Linked DNA regions of Zea mays. The main gene of each other region encodes a partner of the protein of the gene in region 4 in a complex. Links are inferred from orthologs where the notes say so. Each region holds a gene or a part of one and is shown on either strand. Other genes may lie near its edges. The genes, in order: 7-hydroxymethyl chlorophyll a reductase, chloroplastic; pheophorbide a oxygenase, chloroplastic; uncharacterized protein LOC100272914; Pheophytinase, chloroplastic; Probable chlorophyll(ide) b reductase NYC1, chloroplastic.

What was found.
Region 1: Pheophytinase, chloroplastic (region 4) and 7-hydroxymethyl chlorophyll a reductase, chloroplastic share a complex: the UniProt entries of both Arabidopsis thaliana proteins name them as parts of the SGR1-CCE-LHCII complex. The link is inferred for Zea mays from reciprocal best matches to the Arabidopsis thaliana genes PPH and HCAR.
Region 2: Pheophytinase, chloroplastic (region 4) and pheophorbide a oxygenase, chloroplastic share a complex: the UniProt entries of both Arabidopsis thaliana proteins name them as parts of the SGR1-CCE-LHCII complex. The link is inferred for Zea mays from reciprocal best matches to the Arabidopsis thaliana genes PPH and ACD1.
Region 3: Pheophytinase, chloroplastic (region 4) and uncharacterized protein LOC100272914 share a complex: the UniProt entries of both Arabidopsis thaliana proteins name them as parts of the SGR1-CCE-LHCII complex. The link is inferred for Zea mays from reciprocal best matches to the Arabidopsis thaliana genes PPH and ACD2.
Region 5: Pheophytinase, chloroplastic (region 4) and Probable chlorophyll(ide) b reductase NYC1, chloroplastic share a complex: the UniProt entries of both Arabidopsis thaliana proteins name them as parts of the SGR1-CCE-LHCII complex. The link is inferred for Zea mays from reciprocal best matches to the Arabidopsis thaliana genes PPH and NYC1.

Annotation. Positions count from the first base shown.
Region 1 is NC_050096.1:206,310,992-206,315,148, reverse strand, and holds the start of 7-hydroxymethyl chlorophyll a reductase, chloroplastic, read right to left. Parts: upstream 2,808-4,157; 5' UTR 2,704-2,807; coding exon 2,492-2,703; intron 2,385-2,491; coding exon 2,300-2,384; intron 1,821-2,299; coding exon 1,712-1,820; intron 1,459-1,711; coding exon 1,374-1,458; intron 1,276-1,373; coding exon 1,234-1,275; intron 1,020-1,233; coding exon 941-1,019; intron 526-940; coding exon 474-525; intron 379-473; coding exon 316-378; intron 223-315; coding exon 125-222; intron 1-124. UniProt on the Arabidopsis thaliana protein: Probable iron-sulfur flavoprotein that converts 7-hydroxymethyl chlorophyll a to chlorophyll a using ferredoxin as a reducing equivalent. Catalyzes the reduction of a hydroxymethyl group to a methyl group. Belongs to the chlorophyll catabolic enzymes (CCEs).
Region 2 is NC_050096.1:10,195,916-10,199,974, reverse strand, and holds the start of pheophorbide a oxygenase, chloroplastic, read right to left. Parts: upstream 2,801-4,059; 5' UTR 2,537-2,800; coding exon 2,168-2,536; intron 2,079-2,167; coding exon 1,843-2,078; intron 1,755-1,842; coding exon 1,628-1,754; intron 453-1,627; coding exon 316-452; intron 204-315; coding exon 44-203; intron 1-43. UniProt on the Arabidopsis thaliana protein: Catalyzes the key reaction of chlorophyll catabolism, porphyrin macrocycle cleavage of pheophorbide a (pheide a) to a primary fluorescent catabolite (pFCC). Works in a two-step reaction with red chlorophyll catabolite reductase (RCCR).
Region 3 is NC_050096.1:144,516,651-144,520,581, reverse strand, and holds uncharacterized protein LOC100272914, read left to right. Parts: upstream 1-1,275; 5' UTR 1,276-1,287; coding exon 1,288-1,668; intron 1,669-2,415; coding exon 2,416-3,033; 3' UTR 3,034-3,191; coding exon of another isoform or gene 3,192-3,195; 3' UTR 3,196-3,424; downstream 3,425-3,931. UniProt on the Arabidopsis thaliana protein: Catalyzes the key reaction of chlorophyll catabolism, porphyrin macrocycle cleavage of pheophorbide a (pheide a) to a primary fluorescent catabolite (pFCC).
Region 4 is NC_050100.1:79,043,201-79,047,374, reverse strand, and holds the start of Pheophytinase, chloroplastic, read right to left. Parts: upstream 2,810-4,174; 5' UTR 2,651-2,809; intron 2,457-2,650; 5' UTR 2,427-2,456; coding exon 1,770-2,426; intron 754-1,769; coding exon 527-753; intron 193-526; coding exon 1-192. UniProt on the Arabidopsis thaliana protein: Alpha/beta hydrolase dephytylating specifically the Mg-free chlorophyll pigment (pheophytin), yielding pheophorbide. No activity on chlorophyll. Belongs to the chlorophyll catabolic enzymes (CCEs).
Region 5 is NC_050098.1:2,269,978-2,274,140, forward strand, and holds the start of Probable chlorophyll(ide) b reductase NYC1, chloroplastic, read right to left. Parts: upstream 2,810-4,163; 5' UTR 2,645-2,809; coding exon 2,306-2,644; intron 1,970-2,305; coding exon 1,891-1,969; intron 1,790-1,890; coding exon 1,654-1,789; intron 1,315-1,653; coding exon 1,240-1,314; intron 1,133-1,239; coding exon 937-1,132; intron 681-936; coding exon 612-680; intron 476-611; coding exon 336-475; intron 189-335; coding exon 66-188; intron 1-65. UniProt on the Arabidopsis thaliana protein: Involved in chlorophyll b degradation. Belongs to the chlorophyll catabolic enzymes (CCEs).

The DNA.
Region 1 (4,157 bases), on a different chromosome or scaffold from region 4:
ATCCTAAAACTGCTCCTTGAGCTGTTGATATGGAAAACTGTATTCCTATCCTATTGATTATCCATACATGAACCTACCAATGTGGGAAAAAGAATGTATGCAGCTAATTATTTCAATGTCATACCTTATAGTCTTGCATAAATTCATAATGCATAACAGTTTCTGGCTCACTGCTTGCCGCTTTCAAGAATTTATCAAGCCCTTCACGCGTACCATTGTCAACTAAGAAAAATACAGTATGTTAGAGCTACAATATTATCTTCCACGACAGAAAATGTAAATATTGACTGGTTTGAGAGGAGAAATGGAAATTACCACAGTTTGTTCCAAGCACATAAAGCTTTTCCAAACCAAGGTACTTTTCTACAGATCTCAAAGCTGTAGTTCAAACAATAACTTTAGCAACTTTTACTTTTACATTTGATAAAACATCAGCAATAGAAAGAGAAGAAAGGCCAGGTAAAGGAAAAGACCTTGCACTTGACAGCCCACACCGCAGAAAAGAAGCCGCTTTACACCAGCTGCCTGCCAAAGGAAACTGTGAAACTCTCTGGATTTATAAACTGGTCACTATAGGATATCATATGTATTGTTATGGTTGGAGGGATGATTGGAATAGGCTTTGGAACCCACTAGAATGTGGGGCTACTCCAGATTTAATAGGCTAATAGAATTACATTTGCGGTCTTGCCAAGCAACAAATTCAAATATAATTGAACTACTTCTAATTCTCTTGAATTGGGAAATGGGAACGAATATCTGGATCAATTAACCCTAAATTAATATTAGGACAGCTGATTCTCTCTGACTCTCAGAGATCTGCTGATATGACCCATTATTACTTCTATATGTTATAAGAAAGGGAAAGGAGGCATGGCACCATAGCTTGCATCAAGAATAAGGGGGCATGGGAAGTATAGAGTTAAAAGGAGCGACTTACCTCGACTAAGGCAAGTGTATTGAGATTTGGTGATAATGTTGGCTTCACACCTTTGGCTGCAATTACTTCGTCTGGTGTCCTACAAGAGCATGGCTACTGAGATTAAATGTCACTTCCATTCTAGAAATCAAGGGACATAATGATTAGCATGAGTAATTCATGGATGGACTGATAACAAAAGTTTAAGCTCAAAATAGTTACAGAAAGTCTGGAATTGCAAAAGTATATCCAGTCAAGGAGTGTTATACACAAGCCATAAAGGACAATTCTGAAAGCCATCAGTTTCACAATACCTGGCCAAAACAGGTCTTGGAGCAAGCCTGTCGTCAGGATCACTGCAGAGGGGGTAAAAAACATTATTTGAATCCATGTGGTAATGCTTGTGCATAGCACTGAGAAAGAATGATGTGGCATTTGATTCTTGTTTGGGTGCCTTTGTACACAAACCACAGCATCAACCATGTTTGCTTTCAGCATCTCGACAGCGATTGTTGTCACTATTCCCGTCCACTGGGCTCCTGTTGCATGTGAGGCACATATATGTTACAGGGTACAAAACATAAGTCGTCAGGGTACAGTTTTGTCTAACAAAGGTTTGTTGAGTATATCAAGATAGTGTAGGAAATAAGATGCAACATTCGAGGTGTATGTGGTTTCGGTTTGTTATGGAAGGGCAGTGAACAAGACTGGTATATTGCATATGTGTGCTTCCTTAGATGGATGCAGGCGGTTGTTGAAGGATAAGAACAACTTGTAAAAGGTAATTAGTACCTTCAACAGGTTCGGTCTTCCTGGCATACAAGAGTTGGTCATAGACTCCAAAGTACATTTCATCCATGCCTTCCTTCCGGCCTCTCCCGTGGACTTGTCGCTCAAGATCCTAAATATAGTGAGGAGAGTGTTGGCATCTGTAAATTTGTGTCAACTTTTTTTAGGAAACAGGAGAGTTCCCCGCTTTATTTCACTGAAACAAAGTGTAGAATTCATGTCGAGCATTACTACTCCCTCGGTCTAAATTATAGTTCACTTTAGCTTTATTCTAAATCAAAACTTCTTTTAACTTTGACTTGACCTAAGTATTTTATAAAAAAATATACTCCCTCTGTATATGTTCAAATAAACTATCAAGACATTTTTCACGAAGAAATTGATGAAATCATTTTGATATTGTAGATGGTCTCTATGAACTTGGTCAGAGTTAGAAAAGTTGAACTATAACTTTCGACGGAGGGAGTAACTGCGTGCAGCACTGCAGCCCATGGCTTGATCAAACATCAGACGATCATTTTTGTTTTCATTCAGCAAACTGTTTGAGCCGTTCTAGGCAGGTGATGTGATGCGAAGATGAAGGGAGGTGACCTCGACACGGGACATGCCGTCTCCCAGGAAGGCACAGGCAGTCTTGACATGCGCAACGTAGTATGTGTCGCAGAGCCCACAACGGCTTGAATCGCCATACGAGTAGAAATAGGAACAGAGGTAAGCATCGCATATTCGCATCACATAAACACACAAACAAACAAAGAAATGCGCAGCACAGCAGGCATATACCTGCAGTGGTCCTTGGCAGGGTAGACGGCGCCAGGAGGGATGGGCTTGGATTTCTGCCTCCAGTCCTCCCTGACCGCCTTGGCCCTGATCTTGCGCGTTCTCTCGGACCTGGAGGACGAGGAGGAGGCGAGGGAGGGTCGGCGGAGTCCAGGAGACGAGGACGAGGGCGACGAGGCGTGCAAGCAAAGGGAGAGGGAGGTGCTGGAGGCCATGGTGGCGGAGATCGTCTCACCTCAGTACCTCACCGGTGATAAGACGGAGGATCGAGTGGAGATGGAGGAGTCATGCCTTGAGCCTTTAAGAGAAACTACTGTTACTGGGCCACCTCATGAATTTCGGCTCATGTCCACCCTTTGAGGAAAATTCGGAGCCTGCAAAATGTCCACCCATCGATGCATAGTGCATCTTTTTGGTTTTCATATTTAAAAATATTCAAAATTCAACACTATACCCCGGATAAAAAGTTAACAGAAATTATGCCGCCCATATATGTATTTTTTTACTTCGTAGTCCCTCCTTTTGGTGGGACGACGATCCGTACTCTTAGATTGTCTTCAACACCTTACTCATCATATCTCATATCTCAACCGCTATTTTAAACTTAACTCTTATAAACAGTAGTATACAATATAAAATAATTTTTTACGCGATCATATATATGACTAGGTTCATGCCCATGCGTTGCTACGAAAGTAAAAAAAATAGTATAAAACATAGATACGAAACGATAAACAACATTATGATATGCAAAATCTATGTGGCAAAATATCACTGTAAAACTATTATATTGGCGAGATAAATATGTAATCTTATTATAGCTAATTGCACGTGCGTTGTTACGGTTTCTATATATCAAACAATTAGACTTTATTTTAACAAATCACGAAAACATGTGGGTTCTGTTGGTTAGATGAAGGTGGATGTACAACAAACAAATATTCAAACCACTACCTATTGATAGACTTTGTTTTACAAAACACAAAATATATATCTTCTGTTGGTTAGATGGGTGTGGATGTAAATCCAATAAAGGCCCAAACTACTATTTATGTGTAATTGTACCTAATTTTTGCATAAAGTAGTAATTTTATCTAATTTTTTCATAAAGTGGTAAAGATGACCACTATTTATGTGTAATTGTACCTAATTTTTGCATAAAGTAGTAATTTTATCTAATTTGTTCATAAAGTGGTAAAGATGATCTACGTTGAAACCAGAAAAACTAAGCATTCTTTTTTGCCTTAGCAGAATCTATCAGCACACATCACGCGATTCCAGTCCACCACGTATATATGGAGCAATAGCTTGCCAGTGAACTCATCTCTCGCATGTTATTTCACTCTTCAGTTTAAAATCTGATAGATTGTTTGAGCTAACTCGAGCTCTGCTTCAGATGTTTTGTAGTTAAAATCTGACACGAGACATATATCATATGCAATGGGCACAGATTCTGAATCCTTCCATGTGTTACACATTCTCACAGCGAAGCACAAAACACATGATGTACAATGCACACAGATCTCCCAGGTAGCTAATGACTGCAGAATTTATTCCTGCAACTGAAAGCAACCATTTGTCCATCTCGGTGTGCAGCAAACACATTTGTTCATAGGCGTCCCGTTGCGCGACCACTTGATCCTCATAGTGAAGTAGACCTTGGCAGCGG
Region 2 (4,059 bases), on a different chromosome or scaffold from region 4:
GAAAACAAAGCTTAAGTAAAGGAAACACTAAACACACATGTACCTGCCACCATGCTTTTCCTGGCATTGTGAACTGGAAAAAGTTTCGAGCGCTACAGACAATAGAACGAGTCTTCCCTGGGGCCATTGGAATGTTGAAAGAGCAAATCCATATGACCCATTTCTGGTCGCCAAAAATGGGTAACTTTGTGTCTATCTCTATTCTGTACAAGCCAGTTAACAGAAGTTCAGAACCGTATAACGACTGAATTGCTTAAGTGGTAAATAAGAATCACTCCACACTCAAAGATGACCAGGTACTTTTCTGAAACTTACTTGTTTAATGCATAACAAGGGGCCTCAAAAGTTGCAGTAATGCGAGGATTACCAGAATTTGCTCCTGAGTAACCCCAGGCACCACTTGATTCCATCCTGAATGTCAAAGGCCTGGCTCTATCTCTTCGTCCAGTAACCTGTGAAGAGTTAAAATCTGAAACATGAGTGGATTTGCTGAAACCATGTATCCCGAGAAAATAAAGCATTTTGTTTGTCTATGCTGCCGGCACAAGTTCATGACACACAGATAGCACAATTAACTCAGCCAGTCATTTATAGGGTTTGGTTTGAGGAGCCACTCCATTCTAAATGTGGTGATGCATCATGAGTCAATTCCTTAAATTTGGTTGAATGACCCCATTCTTCATACTAGTACTAACTACTAGTCTGAGGAATGATGTGATAATGCACTGACCAACCTACTCCATTCAACAAACCAAACAAAGAAAAGAGGAATGAGTGGGTGAACTAACTAATCCCTCAAACCAAACACCCTATTAATGCCTGTTCAGACTAAGCAAGTAGCGTAAGTAAAAAAGAATAAAACTATGATGCAAAAATATATATGGGTGCATCCACAGTTAAGATCTAACAGTTAGGGTTTGGTTCCTTTAGTCCAGGGACGAAAGTTTAGTTAGAAGACTAAAATTTAGTCCCTACCCTGTTTGGTTCTAAAAACTATAAGTATTCAAAACACATTAAATGAATCATAAGAAGACCAAAATACTCCTTAACATCCTCCCGCCATTAGTGCAACTGAAATGAAGGAGGGCCAAAAAGTGGATTTTTATGGTTTAGCCCCTTAGAGTCATCCCTTGAGGGACTAGAGACTAGAACAGTTTAGTCCTTGTTTTAGTCCCACCGTTTGTCAATTTATGGACTAAATGGGACTAAAATGGAGGCACTGATATTTAATCCCTCAAACCAAACGGGACCTTAGTTAAACTTGCACGCTGGCAATCAGAAACGATAAGAGGCCAGACTCAGACCATTCAGCCCTTTTGCCCATTATAAGTCATTTCTGAGGAATTTCAATGCAGCATAAGTAAAAAAGAATAAAACTATGATGCAAAAAAAATATATGGGTACATCCACAGTTAAGATCTAACAGTTAGTTAAACTTGCACACTGGCAATCAGAAACGATAAGAGGCCTACACAATTAAACAGTATTGAGGTGGTGATTTTTTAGCAAACTACACAAATTGGTTGCAACAAAACATCTTTCCTCGAATCACCAACTTTCAACTGAAAAATACTATCATGGTGCTTAAGTGTGGCAAGCAACTAAGCTTTCTCACTGTACCAAGTACCTTGTGGTGAGCAAATTCTATATGGGACGGATCAGAGACGTTCTCCATCAACGTATCATAACCATAGAACAAGTCCCTCTGGATTGTCACCGTGGAGAAGGCCGGGTCCTCAAATTCTTTCGGCAACCTGAAACCAAACAAGATCGAATTCAGACACCGAAATGCAAAACTGAATCCAACCAATTAGCCGCAGTCCAAAGTCTGACTCTACGCACATTGGAGGCTTGGTGGCGGCCGCTTTCTCCCACCCATTCTCATCGGGCCACACGAAGAGCAGCCCCTGGGAGACGAGGGTGGGGAACTTGATCGCGCACGCCTTCGGTGACCGCACCGCACGGGCCTCAGGACCCTCGGGCATGGCCTGGGGGATCTTGGTGCAGGCGCCGGAGCCATCGAATGACCATCCGTGATACGAGCACTGCAAGCACCCCGTCTCATCGATCCTGCCCTCCTGCACATGCCCAGACCAAAATTAGCCGAAACGAGGAAGAGATCCGGTAGGACACGGATGAGGCGAGGAAGGGATGCGGGTCGCCGTACCGAGAGCGGGGCAAGGCGGTGGGGGCAGCGGTCGTCGAGCGCGACCCACTCGCCGGACTTGGGTTCCTTCCAGATGACGAGGTCGCGGTTGAGGAGCTGGAACGGGGTGGGGCGGCTGGGGTCGAGGTCCTCGACGAGGGAGACCGGGTACCAGTGATCCCTCCACGAGAACTTCTCGCCGGACTCGGGCGCCGACGTGCTCGGCTCCGCCTGCTCCGCCGCTTCCCCTGGGACGGACGTCGGCGCCGCCACGCGGAGGCGGGTCCGAGAACGACCGCCCACGCGGAGGCGGCCTCCAGCCAGCGGCACGGCGAGCGAGGGGAGCCGCGGCGTCACCAGGAGCGACAGGGCTGGGATTGTCGCGCGCATATTCTCCCCGCACGTGTCGACGTGAAGTGAAGTGAAGAGGTTTTGGCTTTCGCGTTGGGAATTCTTCGCCGCGCTGGCTATATGCTTGGCGGCCGGAGTCGGTGGTTGGAACGGTGCAGATCTTCTAGACTGGGCAAGAACAGAGTTCTGCCACGGCAACGGGGAGAAACCTGGTTTTGGCGCAAGAAAACCAGTGGACAAACAAGAAAATTCCGGGATTTTCCCACGCTGGGGAGTGAACGCGAGGGAAGAACTAGTAGGGCTGGGCAAAAAACCCGTAACCCGAAACCCAAACCTGGAATACCCGAACCCGAACCCGAAATACCCGAAACCCGAATTTTGTTTGGGAATTTCGGGTAGCAACTTGCAAAACCCGAAATTATTTCGGGTAATTCGGGTATCACAATCGGGTACCCGAAATACCCGAATTACCCGAACTTTCATGTGTCATGTACTCATGTCATGCTTAATAATTAATTTGTACATCTATAATTATGTGTAAGTGTGCATAACTTGGGATTGTAGATTGTTTGTGTTTTATATGTCCATGTATATCATTATTCAAACTATATTTTTATACTAATTTAATAGGGTGTATGTGTTTTTATGAAGCCAACACAATAGTTCGGGTAGTTTGGGAATACCCGAACCCGAACCCGAAATTCCGGGTACCCGAAATTCCGGGTATTGAAAAATCCGTTGTAATTTCGGGTATTGATTCTCAAAACCCGAAATTTAAAAAACTTGAATTACCCAACCCGAAAATTTCGGGTAACCCGAACGCCCACCCCTAAGAACTACTGATACGGTTCGGCTAGGGAGAATACATTGTACACATGGTGAGCGCAGTGTGGTTGCGTCACGGCAGGGAAGGGAGGAAGGGCGGGGAAGGAGGACAATTGTACGCGACCACGCATGGCGCTTTGCGGCATTTGTGCGGTGGAGCTTGCATTGGGCCAGCTAGCCGTCCCCACCGGGACGAATGCGCCGCGCGGAGGGGAGACCTGACCGGCGGTGAGAACGACACGAACCCACCCGTGGGCCGTGGCGGAATCCACCCCGCCGGATGTTTGCAATTCGCATCTTGCTGAGTAGCTACAAAGTTGAATAGATCAAATTCGAATTTGTTTACCAGTTCTACTACTACTTCCGTCCCTCAACCTATAGTAACCATTATAAGAGCATCTCAACTCATTTCAAAAAAACTTTCTAAATTCAGATTTAGCGAGCTGCTAAATATATACTGAAAAAACTGTCAAATCAGTTTTTCTAATTATTACTTGGAATTTTAAATTTAGTTTCATTTGTATGGTAAAGCTATCTTTAGACTTGTCAAATGAGGATGGTACATTTATAATTTTCGCGGCTTAAATCATTTAAAGTGTGTCACTTGTATACGAGCGCGATCCCGATGGTAGGCAAGTGAGTTTGCGATGCAGTTGACAAGCAAAATAGTTTATATGTAGATCTGGTTTAAATGTGATAATTATTTAAACATGTTCTAATAATACTAACTATAAAAT
Region 3 (3,931 bases), on a different chromosome or scaffold from region 4:
AATTGTTGGTTGTTTTATATTCATTTATTTGAGTGGATTTTCTGTAGGGAAAGTCATTAGCAAAATCTTTCACTACTTCGTCATATTAGTTTAACTGATTATTTAATCTAAGTTGAGCAGGTTCAAACTTGTTCAGTTGTAAACAAAATCAACTGAACCGGTTTGCACCAGTGCAACTTTAATTTGACATATCTCGAAGTTTTTAGTGAAAAATTTCAGGTGTAGCCTATTCACCCCCTCTCTAGGCTACTTTCAGTGACCTGTCATGGACCGTCATCGCTGTTCACGTTGCAGAGCCGAACCCAAAGTATTGCTCGTCACGAGAAGTGACTAGGCTTCATTGGTGTTTGGTTTTAAATAGATGGTGGTCATCATAGAGGTGGTGTACTATAAATCAGCGATAGAGATAAAGTTCAAGACCGCATCCGAGATAGTGTTATTTATTTTACATCTTATCTACAATCTCGCTTCGGTCATTAGTAATTGGCGCCCAAATTAGGTCCAAGACACTCCTTCACACATTTTGCCTTTTTAAACGCAATAAAAAATATGGACCTTCCGATTTTCCGAACTATCCTCCAAGTTATTAGAGTTAATAGATAATCGTGGCTGGGCAAAATACTCGTGGCTCGTGAGCTCGCTCGACTCGTGGCCAGCTCGGCTCGACTCGACTCGGCTCGTTTCAATTTTATCACGAGCTGAGCTAACATCTCAGCTCGGTTCGTTAACGAGCCAGCTCGACACGAGCTCGAGCCAGCTCGTTAGCTCGAATGAGCTAGCATTTATCTGTAAAACAAAGCCTATACTTGTATTAGATGAATTAATAAGTGATGAACTATGTTAGTTTACGGTTTAGATGATGTGATATATAAAATTATGAGTATTGTTAGTCTTTTCTAGTGTTAAATTAGTATGAAATTAACTAGCAATTAATTATATTGTTGTATATATACATGTATAATATTTTTTGTTCTGGCTCGCGAGATAAACGAGCCAGCTCGAGCTCGCAAACGAGCCGAGCCGAGCTGATTCTCTGGCTCGGTTGCTTAACGAGCCGAGCCGAGCCAGCTCGTTTCCTTAACGAGCCAGCTCGAGCTCGGTCGAGCCGAGCCGAGTGGCTCGATATCCACCCCGATAATCACGTAAATTCTTTTTTGTGCGTGCATTGGCGATAGCGCTGCCTCCTCTTTGTAGCTGCTACCTGCTAGTTCTCACGTCACTGTAGTCTGTAACGTCGTCTTCTTACTCCCCCTATCCGACGCCGGGACAGGAATCAGCTTCCCCTCCATGCTCCGGCTGGAGCAATATCTCCGGTTGCTGCCGGCGACCAGCCACGCTACAGCGCCCGCGTTGATCTCGGGTTACTCTTTCCTCTCCAGTCCTCTCCCTCGCCTCAGTGCCCTCCGGCTAGCCCGCTCGCGGCCTCCCCCGCTCAGGGGCAAAACGTCGAGCCCCGTGCGCGCCTCGGCGGAGCCGGATTCTACGGTAAAGCGCGCGCCCGAGATGGCCCAGAGGGAGGTGGCGCGGGTGGTCGCGGATCAGGCGGTGGCGCGTTTGGGCGCGCGGCTGCTGCCGTCCGCCGTGCCTGCCGACGTCGTCGAGTTTCGCAACGCCGCCGGGAACGCCGTCGGCTCGCTCGACGTGCAACGGGGCTCTCCTGGCTCGTCGGTACAGTTCAATAGTGATCCTATTTTTTTTTTTCTTGTGGTAGTACCGTACCATGTTAGTATAATACAGCTTTCGTGTGGTTGCATACCAAAAGATAAGGGCATACTACTATACTGCTCTGTGCGTAATACGGTTATGGGATCTCCAGTATGACTCGGAATCGGCACATCATGCATTCCACCATTTTTCCTTGGTATATAGTACTCAAATACACACATCACCCCATATATGGCATCTGTATTGAATACCAAAAAATGGCTTGTGTTTCAGTTCAGTATGGTTTGGTGCACTTGCTGACCGCCTACTTCTCGCCAATTGGATAATTGTTGTCCACTGATCCATTCAAGGTGAATTGTCAAAGTTTTAGATGGAAATATTGCTAATGCAACTCTATCAAAGCATCTTGTCAATTGTAGGTTACTAACAGTTCTCCATTTGAGTCCCTTAGATTATTGTTGTGACTTGTGAGACTGCCGAGTTCCAGATAAAGAAACTGGCAATGATCCGTCCCGTGATTTCCAAAACTTAAACTGTAATCGCAGTCCAATCTGAATATCACTGTCATATATGTTGTTGTCCTTGAGCTGATAGTTCAATCTTAATATGTGATTTCAGTCATTGAAAACAGCAATGTCGTCGAGGATGGAAGAAAGCTTGCATTAACATGCTTCCTGTTTGCTACTGCTGTAAGATGTAGTAAAAAGAAACGATGACAGGACCTGATGTGCGTTTCCTCCTTGTCTACAGATTGATTTCATGCTGCAGTCCTCGCTTCACTGTGAAGTCCCGAACGGTGCCATTGACATCACCTCAATTCTCATTTTCCTGAACGCCTCGACGGACGCACCACATTTCCTACTGGAGCTCATACAAGGCAGCTCAACTTCAATGGTGGTGATTCTGGACCTGCTTCCACGGAAAGACCTCGCGTTTCACCCGGACTACCTGCAGAAGTACTACGAGGAAACTGGAATGGATGAGCAGCGCAGAAAGATCGAGGAGCTACCGCAGGCTCGTCCATACAGATCTCCGTCACTCTTCGTGCGCAGCGCATGCTCGCCTACAGCAATAATGGTGAGCATTGACTGTGGACAAGGGGGTGAGAAAGCCTTGGAAGAGATAATACATGGACAGTTAGCAAAGGTCATTCAGGAGGCTCTTCAGACTTGGCTTGACAACTGTGTTGATTCCACCATAGAGATGGATGAGGCGGAGAGGGACTGCCTGCTCAAGAGGGACCGGATTGTAAGGTCGAAATCGATAGAGGTTGACCTGACTGCAAACCTTCCCAGGATGTTTGGTCCGGATGTGTCTAGTCGGGTCATAACTGAAATCCGCAAGGCCTTTGGTGTACAAGAGCCGTAAGTCGTTCATAAATACAAGCATGTAGTTACTTTATTGTAGAGAAAAATTGTTGTGAGTCCATGAAACCCCCTTATTTGAACAATCGAAAGTATATGTGCTAAAGTTGTGTATATATTACTACCAAGTGCTAACTGAGATGATGAAAGTGAGCTATGCAGGTGAAGATGATCAGTTGTTAGGACCAGGTTTCCAGGAACAGTCTCTCATCACAGAGTTCCTAAGCCGTTCCTGTCTTCCTGATGCTAACATACCCAATAAGCATAAGAATTAGCTCTGCCTAAAAAGGAGGTACTGAATGGCGGTGTGTTTTGCTGCATCTTGTTTTATGTATATAAAACTTTGGTGTATATGGTGTACATATTAAAAAAATATCCATCCATGTTAGATCTACTATCCTTTGCCGCTGTATGTATTTTGCAAAGAACACTCTCCATCACCATTTTTCGCAATGTTCGGATATGGCATCATAATAGTATTATGTGTACCTGATATGTTCAAATGACAACTACAACCAGGTTGTTCCGTGTTCAAGCGAAACTGTGGCGAGCTAGCATAGCAGCAGCCACTCCTGAGCTCGGATGCACATGATGATGGTAACAAGTAATGTTCGATAATATCGGTCCTATGAAATTTGTTTTGATCCCGGAGGGGGGGGGGGGGGGGGGGGTCAAACAAGTAGCTACTGTCTTGTGCGTATCTGGACGTTGCATAGTTCGTGACGGCCGTTCGGGTTTATGCATTTGCTGGACTTTACATCAGTAACTTTTGGACTTTGGCGATAGGATGAAAATCTGTTTCAGAATGAAATTCACGTATGTATACAATTGTGCACGATAATACGTCAAGGAAATCCCTGGATTAAAACAAAGTGACACGTTGCGGTGTGCCTCATTGCATG
Region 4 (4,174 bases):
CTAGAGATGGCCTCTTGGAAGGATATCTGACCCCTTGGAGCAAACATAATGGAGGCAAACGATGCAGCAGCTGCTGGGTGTTGTGTTATCTCCACAATACGAGAGAATACTTTGTCCACATTTGTTGAATGGTCAGCGTATACTTGTTTGAGTATGTCCTGAATACTTTTTGGGTCACTTATCTTTTGCCAACTATATCACAGAGGAAATTACACTCCAATTAGATTATAAAATACAATGTGTGGATAATTCATAACTTTTCAATGACACATGCATTAGACATTTAATTTTGCATGTTAGTTTATTTCTAAAATTTCAATAATGCAAGAGCATAAGCAAACTAAATCATTATGGTAATAATGCTTTCACATGTAAAACTACAAATATAACGTTTCTTGAAATAAGTAAATATCACAAATTTCAATATAGCGAAGTTAAAACATCAGAAACTGTTGGTTCATGTCAGTGTGAAATGTATGATTTTAGTGATCGAATATGTTCTCCAAAAATAATAAACAACACTTACACTGCTTCAGTAATTTTCCTCACAAATGATGGAAGCGGAAATGTCCCAGCCCATGGGAAAATCTTTGACAATCGGGGAGATGTAGCAGGGTTGGGAAAGAATCCCCAAAACGGTGTTGCATTAAGCAGTGTGACACCTTTTACAAGGTGTGGACTGGATGCAGCAAAATACAGAGCAACAAAACCTCCAAGAGAGTTCCCCACAATATAAACTGGTTCACGGATAACCTGGAAATGAACTATAATCTTAGCTTACGAAATATGTTGTATAAATCTCATGGTGAAATTATATGATCATATGTATCAGTGAACCTTTATTAGCTTCTGTAGTATAAAGGCATAGATAGCTAAGCCATCCATATACGATGGTTACAATAAACAGATTTAAACCTTATGTGTGCAATTTTAAACAGAAGTACAGAACAAACATAAATATGACGATTACTACATTTCTAGCAGTAAAATATGCATAGTTTATGTTGGTCATCACTCATCAGTGTCGGTTTCGAGCAGTTGTCAACACAAAAATGAAGGCATTCAAACAATGTTCCAGTTTGGCATGGTGTTCTATCGCCCTTGAGGCTTGATGATCTCACTCCTACTAGTGATGATATCTCTTATGTTGTGTGGTGGGGAAAAGCGCATAGAAAGGCGCACAAGAACATGAGAAAAGGTTTTAACAGCGTCATCATTTTGAGGGCTTGGTGCTTATGGCTTCATCGTAACAGGGCTGTATTTGATGGAGTGAGTCCTTCCATGAGCACAGTCCAAAGTATGTCTTTGGATGAGTTGATGTGTTGGGGTAGGGCTGGTGCTAAGCATCTAGAGAGTCTTGGCCTTGCTGCTGCCTGCCTTTAATATGGTCAGGGAAAATCACAGTGCTTAGCGTTTAGGCAAATTAGGTTTGCCTGCTCTTTTGCTTCTGCATCTTCTTTATTATTTCAGCATAGGAAGAGGATGGAACATTAGTGTTTGGCTGGTGGTCTTTGGATCCAGTTTTTCTACCCTTTGGGCTTTGTAATTTAGTCCATTTTGTAATTTTTCTTCTCTTAATATAACGATGCGCAGCTTTTCTGCACGTTCGAGGAAAAAACAATGTTCCAGTTTCAGATATTTATGAATAAAGAAAAAAATAGTAACAAGCCTATGAGGAGTTTCCAAAAGGCAAGATTTGCAAACTAAACACCGATGCCAATTTAGTCAAAACAAACATTGCAAGACACAGTAACTAATTCAAGGAGTACCTCCTCAATGAAATGCTGAACTTGGTTTTGCCATAAATCCACAGAATACACCAGCTCCTCTGCCCAAGGCTGCGAATCTTGTCCAAAGCCCCAAAACGCATCTTCGCTCGCTATGCTACTAGGAGCAGGATCTTCACCAGGCAGCGACATCCCCTGCCCGAGAAAATCCATCGTCCACACCCGATGATCGCGACCAAGATCCCTCAGCTGCTTCTCGAAATGGAACGTCCCGACTCCGAACCCCGGCAGGAAGAGCACCGCAGGTGCCTTGCTGTTCTTCATGCCGGACCTCTCGTAGTACACAGTCAGCTTCGGCTTCCACTCCCAGAACCCAGTACTGATCGGGGAGCTGTCAGGGCCTTCCGGAAGGCCTTGAATCATCACCCTCTCGGCCTCCCCGGCTTTCATGGAAGGAATGCCCTGCAGGGCTGCATCCACGTCGCTTACATGGAATCCCTGGGCTGCATGGACCTTGCCGGAACCACCCGGATTCGAAGCTCCACTCGTGGTTCCTACACACGCAACTGTGTATCTTCTGGTCCGGGAAGGCCTGGCATGCCCAAGACCAAGGCCAAGAGCACTGCCCCGAAGCCTCCATGTGCTTGCTGGTGTTTGATGTAATGCCGAGCAGGAGTGGCTGCAAGAGACCACCTCCATGATCGCTATGATGTTTGGCGCCCACTAGTTCTGCAGACAAAAAGGGAAGTAAATGACTTCGCCAGACCGAAGTGGAACCAATAATCCGACCGTTCGTCATATGGCAATTTGTATCATACAGCTATAAAGCAGGCGCGGTAAGACATATATACCAGATATTTTTTTGGCCAAAAATCGAAGCTAGAAGAAGGAAGGGAAGGGATCAAGGGAACGAGCGCGCATACCTGGCCGACCTGGCGCGGGCGGCAGTGAATCAGTGATCACCCCGTCGTCGCCGCTAGGGAAGAAGGCCCGAGAGAGCGAGGGAGTGGAGTTGAAGGCGAGGATCGGAGACGGAGGAGGGTGGAATGGAACGCAGGACGCGCTCGCGCCGTCCCGGATGGCCTGCTTCTTTGGACCTTGCGTGCGCGCACGCCATCCGCGTGGCGTGGAAGAGGCGAGTGGAGGAGAGGAGTTCGGTGTGCACGGATTGCTTTGGTTTTGTCCGTTTGCGGCTTGGAGATGCGTAGAAGTAACTCGAGAGTCGAGACTCACACTCACTACGACGAATAAGACCGTGGATTTTTTTTCGTTTTCACAATGTTTTTTTTTTGTTTCGACTACGTTTTCATATCAAAAAAATCTGTGCCGGAAAATGCAAAGGGTCGTTGGTGGCACTAAATTAGTAGGTGGTGTTCTTGAAATTTTGGCAATTTAACGTTAGTTTAAGTCATAAATTCCATATCAAATATCGGTAGTATATATATAATGTAAAAGAATTAAGTGCTAACATATTAACATTAAATTCTATCTATCAGATTTACCATAGTACAATTCTACCTATTTTCTTAAACTATTTTCTAAAATATTTCTATGTTTACAACATACGTAATTTTTAAGCAGGGCGGACCCATAGGGGTAAAGTAGGTCATGATCTCATTCGATCATTAAAACCTCTTATATCTAATGTTAAGTATAGAAAATTTTGAAATTTTTGGTGAACTAAAACATCGTTCTAGGTCTCTTGGTCCGATGGGTCCAATCCTCCTACTTCCGGCCTTCTCATTGCCCCATTTCTTGCATATATCTGTCTAGGTTCATTTTTCTCAACGTCGTCCTAGCTAGTCCGCTTCGATACCCTGTCCCAGACATCGCTCTCTTCCCCCCTTACTGAGACGCGACACTGCCTAGCCCCGACTCCTTCCTGCCCTCGTCTTGCTTGTCGTCATCGCAATATCGGCCCGTCCGACAAGCTCAATCTCGCTCGTCGCAACGATGCGACTCTAGCGACCGATGAGTTTCGCGAGCTAACTAGCACTAGCTCTTAGCCAGAGATGCCGCCTGACCTAGCCCTTCCCCCGCACCCATGGCCTTCGAGAAGATAGACATTCTAAAGATACACACAACTTCGATTCGATCAGTATATGTTTGCTTCTTTTATTTATAAGTTTTTTTCTTTGAACATGTATTGTGTATTGATATGAAGCTTTAATTCTATGCAGCATGAGTTTTTTATGGTCTTGATTGATTTTGTCACGTGGTAAAAAATGTTAATTGTCTATTCGCTAGTCATATTAAGTAAGTTGAGTTCAATAGAGTTAAACATTGCTAATCGTTTATTCACCCCTTTATACGACATCAAGGTTCTTAAATGCCGTAATTTTAATCATATGGCTTTTTTGACCACATAAATTCTTATTCTGCGTGCCACTTCTAAGTGTGGGATATGAAGAAGGGATAAACATCCGACGACTCATGTGCATACATCA
Region 5 (4,163 bases), on a different chromosome or scaffold from region 4:
TATATGAAGTTCACAGCGACCTTTACAAATCATATAATGACAACTGATAAGTATGGAGAGCTTACCTTAACAGAAGGTCTGTGAGGACCATACCAGGTGAAGCAGTATGCACTCCAACTTTTGATCTTCTGCTTTCGTTCAGAAGTGATCCTTGGAACTGCTTTAGTCCACATTTAGTTGAACCATAGCTACAAATTTGAGTTCAGCATCAGATCTCGCTTCATAACATAAAGAACTCCAATACAGGACACTCAAGTTTTAGCAACAAAAAACACACATCTATACAGTAGAAGCTATAAAGAAGCAACAGAGTATTCGAAAGCTAAGATGCTTACACAGCTGTTAGTGGTGTGCTTGATCCTCCAGAACCTGCTCCATCCATGTTGAATATATGGCCTCCCTTCTCTTGGTATTGCATGACATTCATGGCTTCTCTGGTGCACAGTAGAGAACCAACTAGGTTTGTTGAGACGATCTGTAACAACATGAAATAGATCAGAATAAATTAATAAAAAGATGGAAATAAGGTAGCATGATTAAGCCAGGTCCTCTGATCAATGATACATACATAAAAAATGATAAAAACACAACATAATATAACAATAACGAACCTGAGTGATGTCATCATCTGAAAAGGTTACCAATGGCCTAAAACCTTTATTTGTGCCAGCGTTATTTATCTGCACACAAGGTTGGAGAAGAAGTGGTAAATAATATTCTTCTTTGATGTAGCCATAGAACCATACAGAAAAGCATAAAAGTGGGCACCACAAAATCTATCTTAATGTCATCATATATATAAAGTACATTTCACAACTGATGTAAATGTTATAAACTCTGTATAATCCAACTTTACTTAAATATTTCTTTAGCAAAACAAAAGGTAGACCAAATAAGATATAGATTTAAGCTACAAAACTGTAATGAATTACCTACCCAAATATCAACTGAACCAAGCTCATTAATAGCAAAATTCACTAACTCCTTCACATCTTCAGGTTTACAGACATCACAATCTGTACCAACAACCTTGGCATGCGATAGAATATTCCTCTGCTTCTTTTTGGCAACAGATAACCCTTCCTGTATGTTCTCTTCAAGTTCTTTTATAGTCTGAAGGACTGATTCAGGACTGCCATCACAAAAAGAAAATATTTAAAACTAAAATAAAGCATAAAGCTCCATAAGGAAAAAGTATGAAACCTTGTAGAACTAGACTAAAGTTCTCATGAATATCACCTTCGTGAAGTAATTACAACACGGTCTCCAGAAAGAAGAAACTCACGAGCAAGCGCTTTTCCTAACCCTCTTGTGCTGGAATTTTTTTATAACAAAAAAAAAAAAACTGATGTCAATGCTAATTGCCGAAATAAGAAACAACAGTATGAAATAACCTATCCAATGGCCGTGAGCAGTGAAACTGCAAAAACTTGAAAAACACAGCCAAACTTTATTTCCTTCTTAAGTAGCTAAATCCATTAACCTCGACAGTTTCTGTTTTCTAGAGTGATTTCATATGCTATCAATAATATGCTGTGCAATACTTTTCTTACAGGGCAAGTCAGCTAATAAATGAAAATTGAAAAATGGTGCATACAGAGTCCTGGAAAATTTTGCAGAAGGCATCTTGAACGAAGGATGGAAACAAGGTACCTTCCAGTTATGACGACATTGCGAGGTCCAGCTTTGCAGTGTTCCTCTAGGACACTGTTTGCACCTATCATTGTGCCGATAATCACCCCACCAAGCCAGCTATACCAAATTAGTTCGTTCATTTGGCTGTCTCCACCTGGGTGAGGGGTTTAAAAAAAATAGTCCGTCTAATTAAATTGGAATTTCAGGAAAAGGCCAAGAGTGAAATGAAACGAGAGGCATAAACGTATGGCAAACCTGACAGCTGGAATCCAACCCCAAGTACAACACCGCTGCTCATCATAGTGATAACATATCTGCCTAGCTGAGTAGTAACCTGCGAGAAGGTGACTGAGATCAGCAAACATATAAGAAACCCTTATGCACAGGAGAAATGGAATAAGAGAAATATACGACTTGGTATGGTGGACTGCAAGCCTGGATCACATGCAACAATGAACAAACCCTTGTTTGTTCATGATGCCACGGTTTAAGGTACTAAGGCTGTAATTAGCGAGCACTGGACATTTATTTGCGTTCCTGATAGTAGTACTCCAGCATAGTTAGGCAATTCATTCAGGTGTGTGTGTGAGCAAACAGATAAGCGTGGTGACTGGTGAGGGTGGGGGGCACGCCGCAAGGATTCGCGAGCGGAGGCCGGTGCGGTGCTCACCGAGAAGAATATCTCCTCCGCCTTCTCGACGGCGCGCTGGTACTGGTACTCTCCCCCGTACACCTCGGCGGCGGCGGAGCGGGATCCCGCGAGGCCCTGGATCGCCGCCTTGAGCTTGTACAGCGGGCCCTTCCTGCGCTTCCGCGCGTCGGCCTCAGCCGGGTCGCCGTCGCCGGCCTCCTGCTTGAACGCGCGGCACCGCAGCAGGGACGGGCGGTGAGCGGACGAGGAAGAGGAGGAGGTGGTGGTGGTGGTGATGGACGGCCGATGCTCCGGTGAGCGGCGGAGGCGGCCGTGGATGGAGAGGTGGGCGACCGCGGCGGCGGCGGCGGCGGCCATGGCGCGGCGTGCAGATAAGGGTTCGCGGCGAATGTCCGTGGGGGATTGGGGTGGTCTCCTGCTGCTAATGTTGCGTGGGGCTTGCTGCTGCTGCTGGATTTTTTGGGGGGGGAGAAGAGGCGTGTGCTCTCCACTGGGCTTTACCAGTGAATAAATATAATAATCGTAGCTTCTTCAGGTTATTGCAGAAAGGACCCTGGACTGGTTTGTGAAGTTCTTTGGGCTCAGATGAACTGGCCGGCGGCCACACGCTGCTGCAACCTCATCCATCCGTCCCATTCGCGCGGATAGGCGCCACGTGGCCGTTCGCTTTGGCTTCAGGGTCCCCAGCGCTGGGCGGATGCGGCTGCACCGAGTCCCTGTCCAGTCCATTCCACGGACACGGAGATAGAGCTCGGACCAGGGCTAGCACACAGATGTCAGCAAAAAAATCAAGTATCTCAGAATCGTCGAAGAAATATCTCAGAATCCTAGACAGATACTTGTAAACGCGTACGTACGTGTCGTTTGAGCATTTTGGCCCATGTTATATTTTTATTTGTCTGCGAACGAGATCTGCACGGGACCTCCGAGCCCCCCCGGATGCCAATGTTTCGTCGTCGTCCAAAACCCTAAACGCAGGAAAAAAATTTGTTGCAGCCCGGCTGCAAACCAGGCTGTTTGCAGCCCCTCACAAAAAGGAGGATAGGTCCCACCCGCAGGTAAATAATACAACTAAAACGTTATCTGGTGGACCTGCAGGTGGGGCCTATCCACCTTTTTGTGAGGGGCTGCAAACAGCCTGGTTTGCAGCCGGGCTGCAACAAATTTTTTTCCCTAAACGCAACTCGTACGTGTTCGGCAGCATCATCTGGTGTTTACGACAGGACAAAACTTGCAGATGCACATTAGTGGCAAAAAATTCCTGTTACACGTACGGCGACGCCAAGCGTGCGCGGTTATTAGAGCAAATAAACACGTGCACGCAACGCAACTCCCGTTAGTCCGGCACGCAAACGCACGCGAGGAGGTGACTCAGCGCTGTGGCTGTGCTGCCGACTCCGTTCGCCTGCTTGGTTTGACCGTCCATCCATCGGTTGAGTTGGCTGCGGCGTGCGCGCGCGGGAGTGCCACGGCAAACGTACGTGCACTGAACCATCGACGATCGTCCTAGCTCGTCGGGCTTTGAGTCAGTGGGTCGGACCCAGAGCAAAAGTAGAGTGACAGCTGCAACGCTGGTCCGGTTCGCTCTAGGGTTATGTAGGCAAATACGTGCTTTGCTCCTGAGGAGTCTCACATCTCTATATAAGCAACTTGTACACCACCTCATAATAGAGATCAGAACTATATTCAGTGTCTCGTGTGTTTCCTCTGTCGTGCTTATGGGAAGGAGACGGGTTCTCTACATCTTCTTGCGCATCTACTGCTGACGGGAGGGAAGAGGACGGATTTGGTGATCCGTGGTAACGTAGTTCTCAACACGCTCTACTGTGCTCCATCTACCACGTACTGCTGCTCTGCCTCGATCGGTGAGTGAGTG